3 linked regions of the Neurospora crassa OR74A genome follow. The protein of the gene in region 1 binds, or shares a complex with, the protein of each later gene. Links are inferred from orthologs where the notes say so. Each region holds a gene or a part of one and is shown on either strand. Other genes may lie near its edges.

Region 1 (2,932 bases):
GTCTACTTACAAGTGACCGTAACCTCTCCGACAATTCGGTATGATAGGTGAGGGCATCGAGAGACCTCGGCCTGTGCTTGTCAACAATAAGCGCCATCGTGGTGTGGTGATATTGTGGAGAGGAAAATGGGTTGACAACGGAAGGGGAAAGAAATGCTGGATTGGAGGTGCATGGGAGACGCGTCGAGTTGACGCGCCGTCCAGAAAATCAATTAACAGATGACGGGGGATGGCCGCACGGACCATATCACCCGCTTATACAGGCCCTGGGGTAGACAGTTGCCCACTTTCGCCATCAGTATTCTAGGCAGCTATCTTGAATCTCTTTGAGTTTTGCAACGTCCGATGCTGGATATTGGATCTTCCATGAACCGACATCTAGTATAGGGCCCATTTCATGGCATGGTTGAAAGGGTATATCTAGGAAGCCAGCATTGCTTGTTGACTCGATGTGGTGCTCTGGCCCATCCAGGTAAACTGGTAGTAGCTTACGGACACATTCTCAGAGCATTGAAATCAAAGTGGTGATGCTTGTTACGTCGTCATAATAATCATGAAATGGCCATGGCAACACTCTTTTGCACATTGGCCCTTCTGTTGTTCTACATAGTGTTACAATTAGAATAGGCTCAGGGTTCTCCACCTCTACGAAGGAGGAGCAGCAGTGCTTGATGTGCTCGCAGCACTCTGGGTAATCTCTGGCATCAACAACTTCTTCCTTGGGTTCTTGAGGTCCTCCACCGTGAGGCCATCCTCCAACTTGGTGATGCCAACCACTGGTGGGTCACCCTTCTTCACAAACTCGTACAGACCTATGACTTGTCAGTTTTCTACTCTTCTCAACCTCGCAAAGATTTTGGGCCAGCATGTGCTGTTATTACCTGGAAGCTTGTGTCCGGCCAAACGGAAGGCATCACGGATGACCTGTTCGTGCAATTGCCCCCTGATCTCGAAGATAATCTGGTTGACGGCAACTCTGGTCGCCCAGTGGTCGAACGAACCCTTACCCTTACCCATACGCATCTACACCGGAAATGCATGTGAGCCTCATGTCCGCTAACAGTCGGCATCCGGCCTTCCCGGGCTGTGGGTTGTTCAGCTGCTCACCTCGTTACCGCTGACGTACACACCGACGTTACAAGCAACGCGCTTGTACAGGCGGTACTTCTGACCACGCAACCTCTGCTTGATGGTGTCCTCGGCGAGCTTGAGCTGTTGGGCGCTAATTCTGCGGTGGTGATCGCGCATGCGCAGGCCGTAATCTCCCCAAACCACTGTTGTTCCTTTGGTCGAACCACCCGTCGGCACTCTGGGCCTTCCCTTCATCATCTTCTTCTTTCTGTTGAGGTTGGGCTCGAGCCACGAACCAGCCTGGATGGCGGTCGCAGAGAATAGGCGGACATGGGAGGCGACGGAAACGGGGGTCGGCGCAATGGGGCGACGGACGGCAGAGGTTGCGAGCGACGCGGCACGGAAGGGAGTCGCCGACGAGGATATCCTAAGGCCCTGGAAGGCGCTGAGGAGCGCCGAGGAAGCGTTGTGCTTCATTGTGTTGAAGGTTTGGGTGTGGACCGGACCGGGGAGGGGACGAGTGGTGGACGGAGGACGGAGGGAGGGTCCAATTGGATGCCGGTCGCCGACGACGATTGATACGGATTCCCCGAAGCAGCGCGCGCACAGAGACGGGGACCGGGCAGAGCGACTACCTGCAATGGAAGGTGCTGCGGGCGCGGACGGGGCACGGACGGCACTTCCAAAAATTGTGACCCACCAAAAAGTGTCGGGTGCCGGCCGCGACATGGAATCTGCCGGACACAGCAGACAAGCGGGACCTGGGACTCATTCATTGACTCCTCACAAGAAATACAGCTGCGTGGGCGTAGCTCAAGGCAGCAAGTTGGCGAATTCTTGTAGGACAAGGCCCCACCAGTCGCGACAGGGGAGCAGAGCCCGGACACAGACTCGCGTCATCCACTTCACCTTCGCGTCTCACTCATCATTCAATTGTTACTTCCGTCTTTACAAGGGACAAGAGTCGACCCGTTAGCTCTTTACCCTTCTAGGCCTTTTGTTCAACAACACTTGTTAGGCAGAAGGACAGCTGCCTGGACAACTCAGACACCAAGAACAAAAGTCCCTACTTCCCAACTCCGCCACTATAAGAAGATGCTTGCTGGTGTCATCTGATTGTTACATCTTCCCAACCTTTTGACACATTCAATTTATCATTTTGTATCCAGTGATTTCTTCTCACATACTCCATCATGCCTGCCGACATTCGCTCGTTTTTTGGTCCAAAAGGTGGCGCGCCGCCTGCTAAGCCGGCAACACCAGCACCCAAGAAGGAAGAGGAGAAGAAGACCCGGGGTAGTAAGCTTGAACCATGATCGCCATCACAAGCTTATCACGTTATATTAACAATCTTGTCGCAGGGCCAAGAAAGGTTGTTGAGGACAGCGAAGATGACGAGGTTGTTGAGTAAGCTTAGTGAAAAGCATCTCTTCTCAGAACTAGCATCTAACCAGCATGTGTAGAGTCAAAAAGCCAACCAAGGCTGCGCCAAAGAAGAAAGTAGCGTAAGTGTTTATGAAACACCTCTCAGTTCCATGTCATCCTATTCCTGCTGACAGACTATCTAGGGAACCCGTAAAAGGAGTTGAAACCGATGCTGCCAAGTACTTTGCAACCTCAAAAACAAAAACTGCTGCTGCGTCCCAGTCAACACCGAAAAAGACACCCGCAAAACCCGAGCCAGAAGAACCAAAAGTAGCGCTTCGAACAAGCCCGCGGAAGAAAGCCACCCCCGCTGCCAAAGCACCAGAGCCTCCCAAGACTACTACAAAGAAGACCTCGACTACGAAGAAACCCACGACGGCCTACAAGAGTTACGACAAGGATGACGATGGCGATGCCTACATGGATGATGAGCACG
Region 2 (3,169 bases), on another chromosome or scaffold:
TCCAAGGACACGCGCCAGGCCGGCGAGACCATCAAGTTCGTCGAGAACCAGCTCGCCGCTCTCGCCAAGGAGATCAACGACTGGAAGAACGTCGTTATCGCGTACGAGCCCATCTGGGCCATTGGCACCGGCCTCGTCGCCACCAAGGAGCAGGCCCAGGAGGTGCACGCCGCCATCCGCAGCTGGCTCAAGCAGAACGTCAGCGACAAGGTTGCTGAGGAGACCCGCATCCTCTACGGTGGCTCTGTCAACGCCAAGAACTGCAAGGACCTTGCCAAGGAGCAGGACATTGACGGTTTCCTTGTTGGCGGTGCCAGCTTGAAGCCCGAGTGTAAGTACTACCTGCCATTGTTGCAACGAGAGGAAGAAAGATGGCTAACATGATATGATGCAGTCGTGGACATCATCAACGCCAACCTGTAAATTACTTGCCCATAAAAAGTTATAGCTTTGCTACAGCCGCAATCATATAGGCTGGGAAATGGTGTTGAGGACACGGCGAAAATATAAAATAGTTAAATGTCCTGATTTTGTTCGATTTGGGATTGAAGAACGTAGTTTCGCTTCATGTAGCCCGTTCATGACTTCTGTGACACCAGATACCGCAACTCCGCGGCTCCTCCATTCGCTCTTAGATGTTCATCCCAAGTTCCAATATCAACAGTCAACCACCAAGCACCAGAAGATAATGTCAGATTCTTTGGAACTGGGGCAACTCATCATGGGAACTCGATAGCTCTGGAAGGACTTGATCACAACCATATAGCCAAACCGAAACCCTTGATACATCCAGAAACCCTTTTCATGTCCTCAATTCATATTCATACATTCAACATGGTATATACAATCCACCTGGTACTGAACCGAGCCAACACCGGCCGAGCACCAAATCCAGCCCAGCACCGATCCAGTCCATTCCAGCACCAGCACCAGCACCTGCTCCTCCCCCTTTTTCCGCTTTATACAGCCATACCCTGCCCATGGTAAGGCGACCAGACACCTCTGACACTGGGGTTCGTGCTGGTGACGGGCTTCTTGAACTTCTGGGGCTTCTCGCCGCTCGCGTCGCGGAGGAGCTCGGCCTTCTTGAGGATCTCGAGCGGCTCCATGTTGCGCACGCAAATGGCCTTGGTGCGCCCGTTGATGTAGTGGCCCATGAGGATCGGGTGCTTGGCGGGCCGGGGAGAGACGACGAACTCGATTTGCGGGTTGGCGGCGGCGAATTTGGGGAGGAGGGATTTGATGAAGCCGCTAGATGGAGGAAGAAGTAAGTGTTAGTGAAAGAGTCTGTCTGCTGAGGTCGCGAAGGGAGACTGGAGGGATAAGGAGGGACGAGGAGGGACGAGGAGGGACGAGGAGGGACGAGGAGGGACGAGAAAAAGGGTATGTAGTGGTGGATGGATGGATGGATGGATGGTCGGGGACGGCGGGATGGTCTCGAGATCTTGGGAGGATGTCGGTTTGGTTGGACGTGTAGAGGTATTGGTATATGTGAAAGATGTTCGATCGGGAATGAGGTTGCGATGTCCATATTCGAAGAATCCTAAACGTACTTCATGCCCCGGGAGCTGCCGGCCCAGTCACTGTAGTGGATGTCCAACTTCTTGCACTGCAAGACGAATGCGCCGACGCCATTCTAGATACAAAACAATCAACGATTAGCATTCTTTTTTTTCTGAAAATTAAAGTTTTTAGTTGCTCAGGCTGCGGTCTAACTTACACGGCCGGCAGAGGAGATCTGCGTCAATGCTTTTACCGTCATTGTTGTGATGCTCTTCTTCTTCTTCTTCTTCGCCGCCGTCCTCGCCTTGCAACAAGTCCGAGTCCACCAGGGTTCATGATCCGGAGGGCGGGTGCGACTTGAACTTCTGCCAGACTCCCGCCCCGTCGCGCGCCGGCACGGCACTGGGGGTGGGGGACCCGCCCAACTGCAAAAGCGGTTGGCAGAATCAATTTCACGCGATTGCACTCCTCCTTGGGTGTGTGCGTAGTGATAACGAAGACGACCTAAGGGTGCACGGTCCCTCTTTCGCACTCAGTCGTTCGGTGGTCGAGCGCGCGAGAAAGCTGCCCAGCAAGAGCTCCAGTCGCTGCGAGGCTGCCAGGCAGTGGACGACACAACACCAGACAGGGCCCTTTGCTGCTCCCGCCTCCCACCCTCTGTCTCTCGTCTTCAGCTGTCCAAGCAAAGTCGCGAAAATGCGGGTTTGACCTTTCTCGCAAACCGACAACACCACATTATCGCCATCACAAGAATTGGCAAACAGTAACAGCGTTCAGCCTTATTGAACTGTTCTCGCCCGGCTTTCCGAACAGTGGATCAAACGCCAGACGACCTACATTTCCTGGTTTCCGACATATCGATTTCATAATTCGACGACAGATAAGATCAACAAAAAAACACCACTTGACCAGCTACAACAGCGACAACGTGAAGCGACAATGACAGACCGGCTCCCGCCTAACCTCCTCGCACTCTTTGCGCCCCGGCCACCTCTGCGCTGGGTGCCGCCCTGCGATGTTGCTCCCGAAGAGCGCAAGTCGGCCTTCATCACCCCCGTTGCCGACTTCCTTCCTGCCATGCAGGCCTACGAGCAAGAATACGAGTACCATCCCACCGAGAGCTGGCTGGAGGCGCGCGACCGCAAGAAGCGCGAGAAGAAGGAAGCTTTGGAGAAGCTGTTGACCGAGGGTCCCAAGAATTGTACGCGGCAAACCCCCAACGTTACGCGCAGTTGTGCTCGCTACTCCTTTACTTGATCATGATCTTGCTGTCGTGCGGCTTGCTAACCGATGGCGTTTATCTGTAGACAACCCTAATGACGATCCCAACATCAGAGGAGATGCTTTCAAGACGTTGATAGTAGCGCGTCTTGACTACCGTGCTGATGAACAGGATCTCGAGCGCGAGTTTAGCCGCTACGGTCCTATCGAGCGTGTGAGTTTGCAAACCCCCCCTCCTCCTATATCATGATTTCACAGCTATGTGTGTGTTAATTGACAAGAACTGACACCAAAAAACAGATCCGTATCATCAGAGATACCCACGCCGATGAGAACCCAAACAAGAAGAAAAAGCCCCATCGTGGCTATGCTTTTGTCGTTTTCGAACGCGAAAAGGACATGAGAGGTAATGACCAGCCCCCCTTGACCCCCCCCCCCCCCCTCT
Region 3 (3,922 bases), on another chromosome or scaffold:
CGCTACTAGTTCTACTACGAACACCACCCCAGTCTTGTTTACAACTAGTACAACTACTACAACCGCCGCCGCCGTTGCTACTACAGCCCCTACTCAAGCCACCACGACCATCGCCACTGCTGCCACTACTTCCACCACGAACATCGCCTCAGCCTCGCCTACAATTCCTGCTGTTGTGAACTGGGACTACCAAGGATGTGCCAGTGACTCCAACACCGCCGCGCCTACTGCTCGCGCGCTCAATGGCACCTACCTATACGACAGCGCCGGCATGACCATTCAAAAATGTCTTAACTACTGCGCCCAGCAAAACTACCCCCTCGCCGGCCTCGAGTTCCAATCCCAATGCTACTGTGGTCTCGAGTTCAAGCCCGGCTACAGCCTCGGCCAGACTGGCTGTAATCTCACCTGCGCCGGTGACCCATCAACACGCTGCGGTGGCCGCGCTCGTCTGGACGTCTTCAGACAAACTAACTACGTGACGCCCCGGCTCGTCAACCCGTCCGTGGTTAACGGGCGCTTGGCGACGCCACAGGGTTGCTTCATCGACAACTCAACGGCTCGTATTCTCAAAGCTCACTCGTACACCAACAGCACGAGCATGACGGTCGAGATGTGCCACGAACGCTGTCAGTCGAGGGGCTACAGTCTCTTTGGCGTGGAGTTCGGCAAGGAGTGTTACTGCGGCAATTCGCTCGCGGACACGGCGGTGGCGGCGTCAGAGCTGTATGAGTGCAAGAGGTCGTTCTGCGTCGGTGATAAGACGGAGTTCTGCGGTGCTGGCTCAAGGTTGTTGCTTTACAGTATTCAGCCGGCTGGGACTACTTCTCCTGCTAGGAGGAGTATAGAAAGGAGAAACGAGGGGATGGTGAAGGTGAAGTTACCCAATTTGGGCAAAGATGGGGAGTCTGATTATGAGTTGAAATGGGATGGTGATGGGGGTGTGGGACAAGTGAGAAGAAGCGGCTCTGGGCGGAAGAATATTGAGAGGCGATGGGGACGTAGTCTTGGACGGTGATGATGATACTTGGATGTTTTTTCTGTTTTCTCTTTCTTCCCCGTTACATACTTTGTTGTTATTGCTAGACATGCTGATAAGGTGTGCGCGGAATGATGTAATTATTAGTGGCTCGGAGGATACTTCGAGCAAAGGAAGCGTACGCATATACAAGTGTCTCCTAATCTAATCATACATGTCGTCTTAATGTGTTGGAATCCTGATCTGAATCGCTTATATTGGTACAAACATAGTGATATATTTCCAAATCCATGCTTTATTTAGAGTTCATCAACCACATCAGATGCATTCTCAGGGGTCCAGGAACGCTTTCAGGGGTAACAGACTCATATCCCTAACCCCAAACTCATCCAGCTTTGGCCCGTGCTGCCAAGCATTGGCCCCGGTTCGAGACTCCGCAGAGGCTCCAAAAAAAATTCCGGCGGGCGGCACAACGGGGACCGGCACCTCTTCGAGCCTCGACGCGGGACCAGGACCTTGCGCTTGCCGGAGAAGGAACCTCGCTGCCCTCTGCCCGTCCGTGACAGACCTTCGGCCCCGATTTCCCGCGTGCGCCGGACCCTCTTCCTCAACCACCACTCCGAAGCGACAACCTCCACGGTCGCCAATTCCGAAACCAGAGCGTCCGCCCGAACGCCGGTTTCTTTTTTCGGTATCCTAATTCACCATGGCCAGTCTCCGCGGGGTCTCGCGATCGGCTCGCGCTCTTCAGCCTTTCTCTGCTCAGTTCGCCGTCCGAAGATGCGCCTCGACACAAACTGGTGCCGGCGCTGCTGCCGCTACTCCCAAATCCAACATTCCCGACCTCGCCGAGCTTGAGACACGGTCGGCATTGGACGCTCCCATCCCCAGCGAAGAGGACAAGAAGGAGTTCAGGCCATGGAAGCGCGCGGCCGACAGGAAGGCGAGGTTGCCTAGCAGCAGGTGCGTTATACACTCTCCCTCCGTCCCGTGGTTTACATAGCTAGCCACACACATGTATATATACATACATATACGCAAACCATAAACAAGATGTTTAAACGTTGCTAACCACCATGCCTCACCTCCTACCGAACAGATACCAATACCACCCCCCCAAGTACAACCGCGGCCCCCTCCACCCCATCCAATCCCCTCCCTCCTCCGACCCTATCGCCCGCGACTTCGTTCCCGGCCCCTTCAACATGCCTCGTCTCAAGGAAACCTTCCGCACCGTCATGGCCTCGGACCTCATGACCCTGGCCTACATCCACACACCCCCGGGAACGCCCAAAAAGGAACCCACGGAGCGCTTGCGTGCCTGGGAGGGCGACTCGCCCTACTTCGCCAACCGTGCCCGCCGCGCGCCCCGCGGTGCCCCCGAGCTTCCCATTCGCGAGCGCGACATTTCGTTCCGCAACATCCCCGAGATCAAGGAAATCACCGTCTCCACCTTCGTGCCGCTCGGTCTCAAGAACCCGGACTTGTTGATTGTGGCCCGGGCGGTGCTGCTGGCCATGACGGGGACGATGCCGGAGATGACGAGGTCCAAGAACAACGTGGTGCAGTGGCAGCTGCAGGCGAACAAACCGGCTGGTTGCAAGACGACGATTTACGGAAACGCGGCGTGGGAGTTTATGGATCGGTTGATCCATTTGGTTCTCCCCCGGATCAAGGATTGGAAGGGCGTGCCGGCGAGTACGGGTGATGGAAGCGGTAATGTGCAGTTTGGTTTGAATCCGGAGGATGTTCAGCTTTTTCCCGAGGTGGAATGCAACTATGATGTGAGTTTGTTTCTTGGGAAATGATGGGTGGAAGAGAAAGAGAGGACGGAGGAGAACAAAAGTTTGGAGTTGGAGCCGGAGCCGAAGCTACAGTAGGGAGGGTTCTGGTTCCGGCTCTGGCTCCGGCTTTGGCCCTACCGTCTGCTTCGTCTTCTTGTTTTCTTGGACTTGACGACAGATTACTGACTTTCTATCCTCTCCAGATGTACCCCGCCAAGATGATTCCCGGTTGCCACATCGCCATCAAGACGACAGCCACCTCCGACAGGCAGGCTAAGCTTCTGCTCCAGTCCCTCGGCGTTCCTTTCTACAGCAACTAAGCGCCAAACGGGCTGTTGATCGTGAGAGGTTGAGAAAGGGACGAGATTCAAGGAAGGGGGATGAGAAGATGATGAACAACATCTCGCATCATGATAGTTGTTGGATGACAATTGAGGAGGATGAGGAGATGTGTGAAACTTGTACAATACGAATACACTAACCACATAAGGACGATGTATGTTGGGTGTATATATACCTTTTGTAACAACATCACGAGGAGGAGGCTTATAGACGAAGTGGAAAGGAAACGGAAGAAGAACAATACCACCGGGTCTGACGGTCAAAGATCAAAGAAGTAGAATCACAAATGCGTAAAACAATTGGAAGGGTGTCATCATTGCGTGAACTGGATTGTGTAAACGGACATCGTCAAGGGTATCTGCTTCATAAACAACTCCCAAGTCTAGAACCACATATCCATATCCCAGTCTAGCTTTGCACAGAACAGGTCAAGATATTATGACAACAGAACCCATTCGTCTTGATCAACCAAGGATCTCCAAACAAAAAAAACCAAACGCCTTTTCCAATGCCAAAACCAAAACCATATCTTTTCAGTCCCATTTTCCTTTCATTTGGTCATCCCCATCATGAACCCCAAACCCTCAACCTACTCATCCCCTTAGACAGCTCTAAGCAGACTTGGCCTTGTTTCTCAAAACGTCAATAACCTCATCCACTTTATCCATATCCGCCGCATCCACCTTGGTCCCGTTGTTCACCAAAACCTCATGACCGCGCTTATGCATCTCGTCCGCCGCGACATCCATAGCCGGCTGATAATTCCTCACCGCACTGCTAAGCGCATACGTAGCCTTGCGCCTCACCTTCTCCGACT

Evidence for each region.
Region 2: NCU06768 (region 1) and NCU07549 share a complex: the UniProt entries of both Schizosaccharomyces pombe proteins name them as parts of the mitochondrial large ribosomal subunit. The link is inferred for Neurospora crassa OR74A from reciprocal best matches to the Schizosaccharomyces pombe genes mrpl16 and mrpl51.
Region 3: NCU06768 (region 1) and NCU04171 share a complex: the UniProt entries of both Schizosaccharomyces pombe proteins name them as parts of the mitochondrial large ribosomal subunit. The link is inferred for Neurospora crassa OR74A from reciprocal best matches to the Schizosaccharomyces pombe genes mrpl16 and mrpl7.

Annotation. Positions count from the first base shown.
Region 1 is NC_026502.1:2,003,417-2,006,348, forward strand, and holds NCU06768 (mitochondrial 54S ribosomal protein YmL47), read right to left. Parts: upstream 1,785-2,932; 5' UTR 1,549-1,784; coding exon 1,108-1,548; intron 1,024-1,107; coding exon 882-1,023; intron 813-881; coding exon 646-812; 3' UTR 511-645; downstream 1-510. Other genes in the region: NCU06769 (activator 1 38 kDa subunit), read right to left, coding at 11-97; NCU06767 (replication factor C subunit 1), read left to right, coding at 2,265-2,370, 2,433-2,478, 2,535-2,576, 2,640-2,932. UniProt on the Schizosaccharomyces pombe protein: Component of the mitochondrial ribosome (mitoribosome), a dedicated translation machinery responsible for the synthesis of mitochondrial genome-encoded proteins, including at least some of the essential transmembrane subunits of the mitochondrial respiratory chain.
Region 2 is NC_026503.1:4,406,048-4,409,216, forward strand, and holds NCU07549 (mitochondrial 54S ribosomal protein MRPL51), read right to left. Parts: upstream 1,944-3,169; 5' UTR 1,763-1,943; coding exon 1,721-1,762; intron 1,637-1,720; coding exon 1,554-1,636; intron 1,252-1,553; coding exon 960-1,251; 3' UTR 508-959; downstream 1-507. Other genes in the region: NCU07550 (triosephosphate isomerase), read left to right, coding at 1-331, 395-423; NCU07548 (hypothetical protein), read left to right, coding at 2,443-2,704, 2,811-2,938, 3,025-3,130. UniProt on the Schizosaccharomyces pombe protein: Component of the mitochondrial ribosome (mitoribosome), a dedicated translation machinery responsible for the synthesis of mitochondrial genome-encoded proteins, including at least some of the essential transmembrane subunits of the mitochondrial respiratory chain.
Region 3 is NC_026505.1:5,079,214-5,083,135, forward strand, and holds NCU04171 (mitochondrial 54S ribosomal protein YmL7/YmL5), read left to right. Parts: upstream 1-1,410; 5' UTR 1,411-1,685; coding exon 1,686-1,942; intron 1,943-2,078; coding exon 2,079-2,763; intron 2,764-2,966; coding exon 2,967-3,083; 3' UTR 3,084-3,415; downstream 3,416-3,922. Other genes in the region: NCU04170 (hypothetical protein), read left to right, coding at 1-1,018; NCU04172 (hsp70-like protein), read right to left, coding at 3,717-3,922. UniProt on the Schizosaccharomyces pombe protein: Component of the mitochondrial ribosome (mitoribosome), a dedicated translation machinery responsible for the synthesis of mitochondrial genome-encoded proteins, including at least some of the essential transmembrane subunits of the mitochondrial respiratory chain.